Regions from separate parts of the Mus musculus genome. Here region 1 is reported to be linked to region 2. Evidence: microRNA targets listed by miRTarBase, many of them from high-throughput screens and not tested one by one. Region 2 holds a microRNA gene; the other region holds the end of a gene's coding sequence.
Evidence for each region. The annotated mature microRNA mmu-miR-9-5p reads UCUUUGGUUAUCUAGCUGUAUGA and lies in region 2 at 4,324-4,346, shown strand. An mRNA with a match to its seed (bases 2 to 7 or 8) in the 3' UTR can be bound and repressed. Matches are read on the target gene's strand: a 7mer-m8 pairs with bases 2 to 8, a 7mer-A1 pairs with bases 2 to 7 and ends in A, and an 8mer does both.

Region 1 (7,119 bases), not on the chromosome of region 2:
TCAAGTGCTACAAAGAAGTCCCTATGGAATTTTCTTTTAATGAGCAAAACAGGTGAAAGAAACGGTAAAAATGTCTTTGTTGGCCAAAATGTTTTTCCTTTTTGTTGTTTTATATTTTATTCTTTCTCAGAATTCTATCTTTCCATTTCCTCATTGAGAAAAAAAATATTAGTGATATTTACTTTGAAGCTAAGTGGCCTAATTGGAAAGAGTTATATTTATAATTGATAATTTTTTCCCTTCTTAAGGGCATACATATATAGCTCTGTGGCAGAGCACATGGACGCGTCATGAGAATCAGCACAACACTCTAGCTTGTTATGTGTATTCCTCAAGGGCCCAGTGTGCCCTTTCATGGAATGACACATAGACCTCACATCTGAATAAAATAATTCATTCTATGCTAATATAAGAAAAGTCTTATATTATAACAAAGACTTACTTCTTTTATAGTTGAAAGACATAGAATCTCAGATCTCTCCACATATAAATGCCCTCCATATATAGTTATTTATGCTTATGATGTACTGATCACAAGTTATTGATTCTGCCCTATTTCCCTTAAAAAGCATTCATTACAAATGCCAGTGAAGCTTTTGTTACAGCACTAAACTCCTCATACTCCTTTATCACTACTTAGAACAACTTAATTCATTTTAAAGAATTGGTGCATGTCATGTTCTGTTACCAGTCAATAGCTGTATTTAGACATTGAAAACTGCTACTTCTTGATTTTTACCAAAAAATTGGTGGGAATCATGAAATACAACCAGTGATTTTTTTTCCTGAATTTCTGTGACTGTGTCATTCTAGGCTTTCTATACTGTTGGATCATATTTCAGGGTAGACATAGTGAAGAAGACATTGATAATTAGATGTTTTTGATATGACCAGAAATATTTCAAAATCAACTCAAGCTTACACCAATAGTAAGACACAAGAAATGATGTGAGTGGACTGAGTCTACTGTTAGATCAGACTGGAACACTAAGGCAACCTTTGCTACTATGCCAAGTGTTTTATATAATATGATTACTGAGGTAAATTTCTATCCTAGGGAATGGCTTTTTTTTCCCCCACAGGGTTCTAACATCATTCTGACTGCGGTTACTGAGTGAATGCTTTTAACTTTTAATATAATGGGTCTATGAGGCAATGGATGAGTATTAGATGTGTTTACACAGGTGACATCTAATGGGCACTGACTAAGTATATACATTGGTAAATTATGTACTCATTCCTGGTGTGAGGAGCTTGAAGTTTCAATTTCTCTGCTTTTTTTCATCCTTGCTGTAGTTAATCTTTCAGTTGTAATATTACAGAGTGCTAGAGCATGACTTTGTGTTTTACAAAAGATTCATTTTATCCTTTTTCCCTGCCCACTCTACTTATAAAATGTTGCTTTCATATCAACAGTGTGGTATTCTCCTCGATTGTTCGTTTCTTTATTACTAAGTTCAACCTTTAGAAGAGACTCATTTAAACTTTCTTCTTAGGCAATAGAAAAACTGCCATTTAGACTACTAGCCTCTAGCACTTGTTTACTGTACTTGTTATGTGTCAGTATTGTGGAAATCACTGACATTATAAGGAATAGTCAGATTATACCAATAAGTTGCTAGACCTCTTCATTGGTATCATAGATTAGTGGAGATTGTATTTACAGCTCTTTGTGATAGTCACACTTGTGATTTAAATGGTATGCTGTGTCTTTGACAGCTTGGAATATGCTCTTATGGTATCAAAGCTTAAACATTTGGCTGCGATTACTGTAAACACTTCCTTGCCATCCCCAGGCTTATTGAATTATATGCTACAATCTCACAGGGTCAAAACTATCAGCAAATCACTGCCTTTATTTGTTTTGGGAAATAAATACCAAGTACCTAAAAAAGAAAATGATTATTTTCATGACTTTTGTTTAACATATCTATTCAAGTATTAACATCTATTCTATTCCTCTTCAAATAGCACATTGAGTTCAATTAATATGGGCACACCAGTTTATCAATTGTAAGACCCACATGAGAGGAGTCTGAATTTGTGCCGTAATTAGAATATAAATACAACATGGAGAACTTGAGAATATTACATTATACTTCCTAGAACCCAGTATATACACCTTCATCCAGATATCACAATGAGCAGTAGACCTGGTCAATATTCTTAGCCACTGCATTGCATTCTATTTGGTTAATTCACAGAAATGAAATAAAATTACATGTACAGACTTTGAAGAGCCAAATTATGTGCTGATGAAAGAGATTGTAGGCAGCTTGAGTAATAAAGGTAATGTTTTCTTATGTCAGTAAATTTGTCTCTATTTTTTATTACTTAGTAATTGCCTCTTAGTGATCATTACTAGGTAACTTATTACATGTGATTCAGAAAAGCCTTGTTAACTGATTAGTAACAAAAGCTGTATTTGTTAGGAGCATCTATTGTATACTGATTGAGCCCTATAACCTTGCCATGGCAATGAACATCTGTTTTCACCTGCTGTTATAACCATCTCTGCAGAAACTTTGTTCTCAGATGAGTTAACGATTACCTAAAATCAAAACTTTATCTACCGAACTGATGTGGAATTACTGCTTTATAAAGAATTCAAACTGATAACCTATCTTAGTATTTCACTTAGTCTGATTAATAATATACAGACAAACAGTATTTACCTGAAATTGTAAACTTGAAAATTATTTTATGTAAAATCTATTACCTGGTTTACAGTTGCCTTCATATTTGTTAAAGTAATGAAAATAGTGAAAGAGATGAATTACTTTATGAATACAAATATGTTTTCATTTCACTTTTGGAAACAGTAGGGGTGACCTTTATATGTTACTCATTTAGAGGTTACAGAAAAAACTTGATTGGTTGACTTTCACTGATATTAAGCTGACATTATGGTCTTAATCCAAATAGCTTCATTTAAAAAAAGTTTAATTGCTATTTTCATCACCGATCATTTTCGTGATTTCTCTAGCATTACCTCATTTTAAAATACAAATTCCAACCATATGAAAAGTCAGCAATCATATGAATGAAGTGTCTGGCATATGGTGAACAAAGGAAGCCCAATGCTTTTGATCACATTCTCCTTATTTCTTATCACTTACGATCTTATAGTGGTCCCAATCAAGATAGTAGACATAGAAGCCACTTTCAGTACATAGACTTCCCACATTCAAGGCAACAAAACCCAAATCATATCCATGATATTTACCAGAATTGAAGCATAATAAAGACTCATCCATTTTCAATGCTATGATTATTTTCTAGCCCTTAGGTACTTACAGTCTTGAGATGAATCAGGGTAGTGTGATGAATGAATAAAGAGGCAATAAATTGCTTATTGATTTTCTTTTTGATTTTTGAGAGAAAAAAAAAGTTCAGTGCATGTTGATAGAGTTCCTCGATGATTTGCACATGTCCCAAAAAGGTTACAGTTACTCACTTCTATTATTAGAAAAAGAAAATGCTTCCAGTCATTTTTTATTTTTTCTTGACATCAAGGTCCTGAAAGGATTAAACCCTCTAACAAGCAAACACTGTATAAACAGGCTTATGTATACAGTCCTCCATGCTCTGTCATAACTAACTATAATATTCTCATCACCTAGAAAGGAAGTACTGAAGTAGAGCTACAGCGCCGATCCTTGCCCTCCCTGTGTTATTTACCCTCACATTCAAAATCATGAATGTCTTGTTGAAGTACAGTCTGCATTGCATAATGTGGTACTATGAAGCCATGAATCCATTTCTCTTTCCTGTTTCTTTTTCTTAGTTTTACAAAATATGCTCGGATTGTAGGAAACACCATTCTGCCAGGCTTTTCAGCATGCCACCCATGATTAAAAATGTCCCCAACCAAATCATAAACATGTAGTTGAACCAAAGGCATTCTAACTTTCATGCTATGTTGAGTATAAATATAAATTCAAGGCAGCCAAACTATCCATTTCCAAATAAGAATGTATACCTACACTCATTAAAAATCATCTGGAAATGTGTATTATTAGCAAATGAGTAAGAAATTTTCACTAGTATAAAATTCCTGCTTTATATAAAAGCCACACTGGCCATTCAAGTATTTGAGGTTTTTTTTTTTCCTATTTTTTTGTAATTTTTACTAAAATAATGAAATTAAGCTTGAAATTAAAGAAAAAAAATACCTCTACCTATAGGGCATATTCAGAGTGTGCATGTAGAGAGCAAAGCGCCACCTGCAGATCCACTACTGAAACTCTCTCTCCACTCGAAGGAAACAGCTCATTTACTAGGTTTTAGAGAATCACAATCCAGTGGAGAAGTGACACCAGATTTCCTTCAGTTTGTGCCAGTTTGCAAGTTAAAGGTCAAAGGGCAAAGACACAGAACAGGGCTCTTCAAGGAACATTTTCACAGAAGACAGTGTTTAAGTTGTTGTTAATGACAGTCAACAGATCAATATCAAGTTCAAGGCAAGCTGTTCATTGTTTCAAAAGCTAATCCCCTCAAAAGCTGGCTTTCACACAAAGCCAATTGTCTGACTCATGGGGTGCTTTCCTTCTGACCATCTCTAATAAGTTCACAGCCCAGTGGCTGCAAAGCCATTCACTGCAAGAAGCAGCTTCTAAAATCAATAAAGAGGTCTGTCAGTTGCTGACTTTTCTCTAGGAAAAAAATATTGATATGATCCTGCTCTGCAGGTCACATGAGAATGACAATACTGCTGTTAGGACAAATTACACTCAACAATGGGATGCTTTGGTGTCTCTTGGCTTTGTCAGTGATCAAATAGATGGCTAAATGCCAGAAGCCACACCAACCCTTTGAGAACTATGGCTGACATGCGATAGGTAATGCATTGGTAGGTATTCATGCAACTCAGAGTCATCATTTTAATTCAGTCTTAACCAAGCAATGCTAACTGCATATTTTATGGCAAACAGATTTCATGCAGTGGATTTTAAATAAAAAAAAAATCAATATGTCTGAAGAAGAAAAAGCTTAGACTTTTCTAACCAATTATTCAAATAAAATTTCACTCTCATGAGATACTGTTAACAAAATATCTTTTTTATTTGCCAGAAAAGTTTTGGCAAGTCACATCATCGTTGTTATAAAAGCATTTATGCAGTACTGTCAGTCATTAAAGAGTTACATGGGATTGTAAGGTATGCTTTACAAATCTGAACTTCTCGAAACCTGTGATGGCTTTCCCTTTTGGCCAGTTCTACAAATGACCAGATTGCAAGACTGATCATCCTGACTCTGTAAGCTGGTCCGATAGTTCTCAAAGGGTTCCACTGATGTATTAAAGAGTAACAGATCCTTATAAAATAACCATCACCTTCTTTCCTTCAGAGACACAATACTTCTTGCTCTGCTTTGCGCGGAGTATTGCTGACAGACCAATGGACGGCCTGGGACAAAGGCCTAACACAACTGGGAAGAACATCACAATGATTCTGGGTCAGGAGGCAGGAGGGGGTTCAGAAATATTTCAAAACAACCGAAAGGTCCTGTTTGAACACAGCTATGAGTATGGAGGTGATGATACATTGTGGACATAGTTGAGAACAGCTGTAGAAAACGAAAAATGCATGTATTATTAAGGCTGTTACTATATTGCAGATATTTTGGCCCCTTGTTTGTTGGAAAATGACTGTCCCAACAGTCTAGCATCCTGCATGTGTTCCAGATCTCCCACCTGACAAAACGATGTGCAGGAGACTATCCATAGTGGTCACAGAGCTATCTTCTTTGGAGACAAAGCTGTTTTGGATCTTCACACTTTCCTGAAAGTTCAATAGTGGATTTTGTTGTTTTTTAAACTCTTTCTTCTTTTGCCTTAAAGCAAAAACCTATGGGTTTTTTGATTTGCTCTTTTTGTTTTTCTTTCTCTCTCTCTCTCTCTTTCTCTCTCTTTCTTTCTCTTTCCCAGAAATGGGCTCAGATTTCAGAAGGAAATGTATTTTTTAAAAAATTAAGAAGAAACTTTTCTTCTATATTTCCTCTTCTTCAGTTAATCCTGAAATTTTACTGGGCATTGAGCGTGCAGAGGAAAGGCCTAGAACTGAATGACAAAGAAAGACAGAGGACTGGAGAACAGCAGATACTGTGCATCACGGAAGCTTCTCCATGATTATATTTCCACTCATGTGCAGGACCAGCAACCATCTAGGTTTGGAAGGTCAGCCTCCATCAGGCTGCCACAAGCCTGCTCCTAGCTAGGAAACAGCATAACAGCTCTTGTCTTGAATCTCAAGTTACCACAAACTCCCAGAAAAGAAAGAAAAAAGAAATCCCTACATCACACCCACTCTTGCATAGAGCGTTTACAGTACAGTATGTGGCGGGGTGTTCCTTTCCTCTTGAACTGGAACACAGTGTAAACCAATACAAGGAGGCATAAGGCCAAGATGCAGGGAATGACAATAGCTATGGCTTTCACAGTGCTGGCTGTGTTGTCCAGTTTGATGACAATGTCTACATCATCTGGTGGGCTGAGTCCTTCTTTATCTCGGTCTGTTGGTCCATCACAGCCCATAAAGTCCTTGAGGATGGATCTTGGATAACCAGGTTCTACTTTGAGTATCTGATTGTTGAATTTCCAATACTCCTTTCCTTTGTAGAAATAGGTAAAGCCTGGAGAGAAAACATACACAGAGGTACCACTCATTTGTGACTGTATATATGCATATAGATGATAATGAAATAGGCAACTTCTCAAAACATGTAGCTTAATATCCTAAGTCCTTTCAATTTCTAAGGGAAAAAAAAAGGTTATCAGCTCAACTATCTTGCAAAGGCTGTGCATGCATCATCCAGGAATTGTGTCTGTTTTCTTTTTCTATCCCCTTCCCTTCCCTTCCCTTCCCTTCCCTTCCCTTCCCTTCCCTTCCCTTCCCTTCCCTTCCCTTCCCTTCCCTTCCCTTCCCTTGCCTTCCTCCATGCACCTTCTCTTTTCTGAAAAAGGGTCTAAGCCTTGATCCCAAGCTGTCTTAGAACTCGCTAAAGAGTGCAGATTGGCCTCCAACACAGGGCAATAAGGATTTTTTGTTTTTGTTTTTTTTTGTGTTTTTTTTTTTTACCTAATTCTCCCCAGTGCTTGTGGTGTAAATGTTTTTTCTC
Region 2 (7,119 bases):
ATGGATGGAGCTTGAGGCTGTTTAGGGTCATCTCTGGGAGAAGCTTGGGTGGTAGGGTGTCACAGGAAGGAGGCAGCTGGCTCTAGCAAGGAGAGGCTCCAGGCCAAATCTCTGGAGCAGCAAAGACATCCAAAAAAATACAATCTCTGAGCCATTGTGGCAGAGAGGCCAGATGCTGGGCTTCAAGGGGAGAGAGACCCTCTTTGAATCTTCTTCATATTGGGGGTGTGTGATAGGTTCTTAAGGGGGTCTGGAGTTTGAGGGTCTGGCTTTCAGTCAAGGGAGGTCAGAGGTAGGTTAAGTAGGCACAGACATAGGGGTGCACCTCAGGAGCCTCCAGGAGCAATACTGGCTGGTCACGGGAAAGGCTTGGCATTTTGAGGAAGGTATTTTGAGGTCCCTGTTTAGAAAAGCCCACACCCTGCTGCCTGCCTTCACCTCAGCTGTTGAGGAAGTGGGCAGGTTAAAAGACAGAAAGGAAGATACTGTCCAATCGGCCATGTGTGTTTGAGGGGAGGTGTGGAGGCCTCTGTACCCTCTGGGTACAGGGAACTGGCTCCATCTGTGGTAACCCAAAGCTGGGTCTCCTTGTGAACAGCCCTTCAAGCCTCCAGACAATAGGAAGATCAGCTTAATCAAAGCTTGAGCCCAAGGAAGGGATGGGAGAGAAAAGCTGCCAGGGGGAAGAGGCACCTGGAATCAGCCTGGGCTGTGGCTAGAGATTCTGTGTCCTAATTACAGCCCAGAGGGGGATGAAAGGGAGCGTTGCTGCCAGGCTGAATGGCAGGCCAAGTGGCTGCATCTGCTTTGCTCCACCAGCCCCAGGCTCCCAGCCTCAGGATCTGGGCAAGGTCCTGGTCGCAGGACAAGGGTATCTGCACCCTACTGTGAGTGAGGGTGTGAATTGTCCTTCTCGGAACCCCTTATCTCATAAGCGGAGTAACTACCGACAGGGAATAGAAGCACGGAGTCGAGGCAAGTGGAGTTCATGGAGTGGATGCCTGCCAGCAGGCGCAACAGCACTCCTGTACTGTGCATGTAGATCTGCATGCACAAGTAACATGCCAGCCTTGGGGGCGGCCTCATAAGCTGACTGTGGGAGAAAATGCAAGGTAGGTTTCAGTGGGCTCTAGGGCACATGTGGATAGTTTCTGTAGATTCAGATATGGGAACTCAGCGCAGGATTTTTGTCCCTCTGTGGTGATTTATGAAAATAGGAGTATGAAAAATGGAGTCTCCAACCTTTGGTGGAGATGTCTAAGTGCTGGCCGTCCCCCTGGATGCTTGCTTTTCTAAGTTACTGTAGGCACCCTTAGGACTCAGGTTTCAAACCACAACTTGGAGACCAAGGAACTTCTGAGCTAGGTGAACTGCTGAAGACAAAAAAATGCCGGGTGGGCAGTTCTCAGCACCATGGCCAGGGCCTGTCAGCAACCATGGGTTTTCTAGCTCTAGATCCACTGCCAGCTCTTTCTTGGGACTTAGGGACAGTAGGCTAGAGGCAAGAGATTGATATAGGAGGAAGTGTAGCGAACTTAGACCCGGCCCAGAGTACAGTGTGAAGATGAAAAGACAATCAGAGCCAAAGTCAGCTGGGTCCTCCGTGGGTAGGCTCAGCCCCAAACAATGTGTCCCTGCTGGGTCTGACCTGGAGGCTTCCCATCCTGTACATGGGTGTGGCTGCTAGCTCAAGGAGACTACCTACTGCCCTGTCCCACCAGAACATCCTCCAAAGGGCAAGCAATGGATGACCCAAGGCCCACACTCACTGTGGCCTCCTTCCTGAGAGAGAGCTGATAACACCTTCATGCACCCGGACACTGGAGACAGAGCCCACTCCAGCATGGTGTAGGAACCTCTGCCTGGCTGGCCTCACCTGCTTTGGCAAGGGACATGGTTTCCTAAAGGACAACAGAAATGTGGCTTTGGTGGCACTAACCTGCCTTACCTGAACAGAAAGCAAAATCAAGCTTTTTAGTCTTTCTCCCAGACTCCTAACCAGCCCTAGGCTCTCAGGCCAGGGCTCCAGCGTGCTATAACCATGAACCTCACAGCCGAGGAGCCATTTTGTGCAGCGTCCTGCTTAAATCACACTCTGAGAACGCTCCTTCTCTCTTTCCCCTCTCTCCTGCTCCCCACTCCCCCTCTTTCTTCTCCCTCCCCCTCTTTCAGGTGAATCGTGCTTGCACAGTTCCCTCTGCCTCTTCAGTTCCACCCATCCAAGCTCAGGGTGGCCCAGAAGGACTAGAGCGCAGGAGGCCGCCCACACTGACAGACACACAGCTAAATGGAAGAGGGTGTAGATTCCAGAGGCTGTAGGAGGAGAAGAAAGGGACACCTCCTAATTATGAAAAATCCTTTAGAATTAACCAGGCAGGCCCAAATTCGAGGTTCCTTCCTGGGCCTTGCTGTCGGTAGGTCGGCCCCTCTGTTTCTCTGATGCTTTTCAGTCTAGCCTGTGTCCTTTTTCTGAGACAAGGATTTGTCTGTGAGGTGGCATTTGGAAAGAGGTGTGTAACTGCTAGCTGGCTTGCTCACTGGCTGACAGGGATGGCAGTGGGGATGCAGCCCACCTTGGATTTGGGGTCAAGATAAAAAATAGGACGAATCTAAAACAAGCACGGGGTACAGAGGTGTGGTGCCAAAGCCTGGTATTAAACAAAAAAAATCCAGATGTGTCATTTAAGGGAGACTGCTTTAGATACCTTTAGAAAAATTCCCTGATCCCTTCCAAATCACCCACTTTGGGCCTATTCTTTGAACCCAGCCTTATGGGATTTGCTGATGGAGAGTGTGTAAGGGGTGCCCCCCCCCCCGCCTCACCAAAACAGATCTGAATGAGTACCCCCACCAAATCTGGGCTGCTTTGGGGATGCCTTAGCACAGAGAGTCTTTGGGACTCCCTCATAGTCACTGCTGGAATCCTGGAACCCGCTACCCCCCACCCCCACTCTATTGTTAAGTCAATCTCTAGATCTTGGATTTAAGATCTTTCTAGGGATGACTGGGGGGGGGGGAAGGAGATATCGAATTTTTCATATTTAATCCTTTGCCTCCCAGGAATGGGTGAAGGGGGTGAATCAGGGCTCATAGTGGGAGGGGTGTACAGGAGCAAGGAAGACAGGATGGGTTTCAGGTGAGCAACCTCTAAACCACCACGTTTAGGAGACTGAGACGGGACTTCAGTTTGGTGGCCAGGCTCAATTCTACTGTGAAACCTCAAAATGTCAATTCTTTTGCCCTGTAAAGTCACTTGGAGTAAGTGGGCTAGGGTGTGCTGTGAGCAGAAAGATGGCAGGAGCTGATTATTTTTATGGGAGGTGAATAGGAGCCCAATTACGGCCTTGGATATCTTTAAGGCGCAGGGGCACAATTGATTACATATCCTTGGCTGTACTAGGAATGGTCAGAGGGAAAGGGCTAACAATCTGGTGCCGACATTTAGGACCTGGTTTGAGCGAAGCATGCCATGGGAATCCCTACAAGTCAGGCAATATATATGGGATACATTGATCTAGACACCCACTCCTTCCCTTAATCCCCAGTCTCTACCGCGGTGTCTGTACAGTGCTGGGCAAGAAAAAAAAGGAAGAGAGACCTTAAGGATAAAGTGACCGGTTCGCAGCCTCTCCTGCGCTCACTTGGTTGCCTTGGAGAGACCTCGACCTTAAACCTCTTCCCTCAAACTCTAACTCTGGTGGTCTGCGGTGGCTGCCAGGCACCTAAGACGTTGCTGGGAGGTCAGAGAGGTTTGAGAGAAAGGCCAGACTGTGTGCATCCAAGCAAGCAGGCCTAAGGCTTCTGAGGGCAGAAGAGGCGCTCCCCTGTCCTCGCGGCGCAGAAGCCGTGAACGCCGAGGCCATTGTAAGGCTGGGTGGTGCCGAGCGCGGGAAGGGGGCTGGGATTTGAATGGAAGCCCGTGATAGGCCGATCCCCCGACTGACGTCACTTCCCCGCGGGGCGATTAGCCTGCGAGAGGAGGGCTGATGGTCCAGTGCGCTGGGGGCCGCCAGGGCGCCCGAGGCTGCCCAAGCGCAGAGCGCCGGTTACCCGAGTGCGCCCCGGGACGGCGTCGAAGCGGGCCGCGCACGCACTGGACGGGGAACTGGGGATGGAGAAATCGCGAGGGCGAGGGAGGAAGGGAGCTGGGCGATCCGGGTGGCGGGAGTCCGTGTGTCTGTGTGTCTGTCGGTCCCCTCTGGCTCTCCGCGTGCGCCCGGGGCTGCGGGAGCGGAGTCCGCTCAGGCCCCCGCGCCGGGTCGGCGGCGGCACGTGGGGCCCACAGCGCGGCAGCGGTGCCGGCGAATGGGAGGCCCGTTTCTCTCTTTGGTTATCTAGCTGTATGAGTGCCACAGAGCCGTCATAAAGCTAGATAACCGAAAGTAGAAATGACTCTCACAACTTCTGCGTGCGATGGCCCGGCCGGCCGCCCTGGCCACAGGAGCCAGAGGAGCCCAGAGAAGCCCACGCCACCCAGGGATTCCAGCTCGACGGAGCGGCCACGCCGGGACCAGGTATCCGACCTCGGCTCTCCTGGGGACACTTGCCGTGTCCTGGAGGCATTCCCTTCACCTCCTCCTCGGTCCCTGCACCCCCATCACCATTTCCCAGCGCCGAGGCTGGAACCCCGAAGTGGAGTGGGTTGGGGGCAGGGAACGGGCTGGGGTTGCAGAGGGGTCGCTGGCGGGGAAGGCGCCAGCCTTTGCCTTCACCCCATAAATCAGGCTAGAACAATCCACGCCCTGAGCTGCAGACTAGGATTTTGGGATGCAAATGCGATGAGAAAGAGAACGGAGAGAGGAAGGGAGAGAGGAAGGGAGAGAGAGAGGAAGGGGGAGAGAGAGAGAGAGAGAGAGAGAGAGAGAGAGAGAGAGAGAGAGAGAGAGAGAGGAGAGAGAGAGAGAGACCGGTAGGCAGTGTGTAGGGGGAGTAAAAGGGTGGGCAGGGGGCTGCCCTGCCGCTAACAATGCAGCCTTTATCGAATTATTCGACGAGTCAGCCCCTGAGCACCATTAGCATACGGCTGGGGGGTTGCTGGAGCTTCGCCCCTCGGTGAGGTCAAGTTCTTGATAATTTGATCACTTTTCACCGGCTCTGGCAGCTGCCTTTGTGTGCAGTTGGGGGGTCTGTGTGCAGCGTGAAGCGGAGCAGAACTGGCGGGGAGTGTACTCAATGGCAAGGGGCCTAGGCGGGGGGCCTCCCGCCCCGACCGACCGGCCCTGCCCTGCATACAAACCAAGAGCAGGCTGCTGGGCGGGAGAGACGTAGCCCAGATCCTCTAAACCTCTATAGTTCTGGTCGGACGGCTGGGGCCGGAGCCTCCCCAACTTCCCCAACTGGTTAAGGGGGAAGCCAGGCTCTCTGGAGCTCCTCTCCTTCCCGCCCCAATAAATGGCAACATAAGATGTATTACAATGTCTAGCAAATAAAAAAGCAATTGGGGGAAAAAATCTGAATTCCGTTCCCATGGCAACCCAATGCTGCACACCGGCCACTCAAGCTCCAGGTCCCTCTTAGCTGGGCGCTGCGAGTGGGGCGTGCCAATGTTCTGTGTCCGTGGTTCTTAGCCCCACAAGGAGCGGAAGGTCCCTTTGAGGTTTCTCTGCCTTCAGGTCCCTCTCCTTCCTGCCACTCCCTTTACTCTTTCCTTATCTTGAAGTTTGGGGCCCCCTGCAACTTAGGAAACCATTAGGGCTCCCGCGTGGTGGATGTAGACCCAGCTATGGACCCTATCAAGTGTAGGGAAGAAAGGATCCAAAGTCAGTTCACATACCTTAAGGCTTGGGGTCTTTTGGGGTTCTTTAAGGCACATATCAGTGTATACATGCTTTAGCAGATTGACTGGGAAGGATTAGTGCTACCATCCTGACTTGACCCGCTTTCTTTTCCTTGAACATATTAAGGAAGCAGATCTGGGGGGTGAGGGCCTACTCCTTAGGGAGTAGCACACACAGCGCAGAAGTGCAGAGGTGGGCACTACCTAGGTCACCTTACCTCCATCTTGGCCCAGTTCAATCCCAAGAGCCTCTTGCCTTAGTTATTTATAAGATTGGTCTCTCAGCCTCTATCCAGAACCTGCCCAGCCCCCTTGTGATAATAGAAATCTTTTTCCATCTTTGTGCCTACCAGCCGTTCCTCCCCCCCCCCCACACCCTTTGCTTAGCAAAATTATCTTAACAACAAAAAGGTGACTTGTGTAAAAGTAAAAATAAATTCAGTGATACAAAGGAGAACCTCCTGGGTCTGGGGAGGGGCAAGGTGTGGCTTCCATACGGTAGATGGAGAGTTTTTCACTGCATTGCCTTGGAATGTTAGACAAAATTAAACGCGGTGGCAGGAAAGCAGCTGTCTCTGTGCCTCCTTCTCAGGGACTCATTGGGTGGAAGGAAGGGGTTCGAGGTCCTTTCATCTTTTCCTTCCCGTTTCTTAGGCCTGTGAAGGGTCACTCGCGTGTTTGAGGACCCAGGAGCCTCCCTCCCCCCAACTGCATCTACTGGGCTTGCTCCCCCTTCCTGGTGCACCTGGGAGCCTGTGTGCTGGTGGTGACCTCATTTCTGAGGAAAGCAGAGCAGCTCTCTCAGCCTGCTTGCCCAGCACTCCCTGCCTCCACGTCTCACGGATGGGCTGGGGCTTCCCCAGAGCCTGCCCCGGTACTCAGAGCCTTCTCTTCCCTGGCCCCTCTCCTTTGCTATTTTTGTAAGAGCCAGTCCTTCCTACACCAAGGTGGTCACATAGCTTCACGACTGTGTCTTAGGTGTAGTTCAAATGTGTGTCGCCTTTGGTTCTTTTGCCGTCCAGGCAGGCTGGAGTCCCCCCATTAGGAGTCCCATGGAGGTAGAGTCCTAGCCTGAGACAGTGCAGGACTTTTACTGCTTTCTATGAAGGGGGAAATCTGCTGATACAAACCTTGCACTTTAGGGAAAAGATGAGGGCCTCAAGGGAGGAGGTGGTGGTGGTGGTGATGGAATGGGTCTGCTGATTCTGATTCACAGAGTTTATCTCACACCCACCACAAAAGGTTTTCAGGGGTGCCAGCCCATCCATTTTATCCTAACAGAGAGATGTTCAAATCCCACCCAGGACCCTTGGAGCCCGAGACACAGGCTTAAAATTGTGTTC

Region 1: the mRNA of Mmp16 is a reported target of mmu-miR-9-5p. Seed matches in the 3' UTR shown: 7mer-A1 at 5,746-5,752.

What each region holds. Positions count from the first base shown.
Region 1 is chr4:18,115,401-18,122,519 of GRCm38, reverse strand. Mmp16 (matrix metallopeptidase 16) reads right to left here. Exons shown (of 11, transcript NM_001379519.1): 11 at 5,041-6,633. The coding sequence ends at 6,299. Among named protein-coding and RNA genes, the nearest start is that of Mmp16, 270 kb to the right of the region's middle.
Region 2 is chr7:79,500,956-79,508,074 of GRCm38, forward strand. It overlaps Mir9-3 (microRNA 9-3), which reads left to right and starts at 4,309; the gene lies at 4,309-4,398. All of the region lies in intron 1 of Mir9-3hg (Mir9-3 host gene), which reads left to right. Gm51285 (predicted gene, 51285) reads right to left here and starts at 4,381; the gene lies at 4,324-4,381.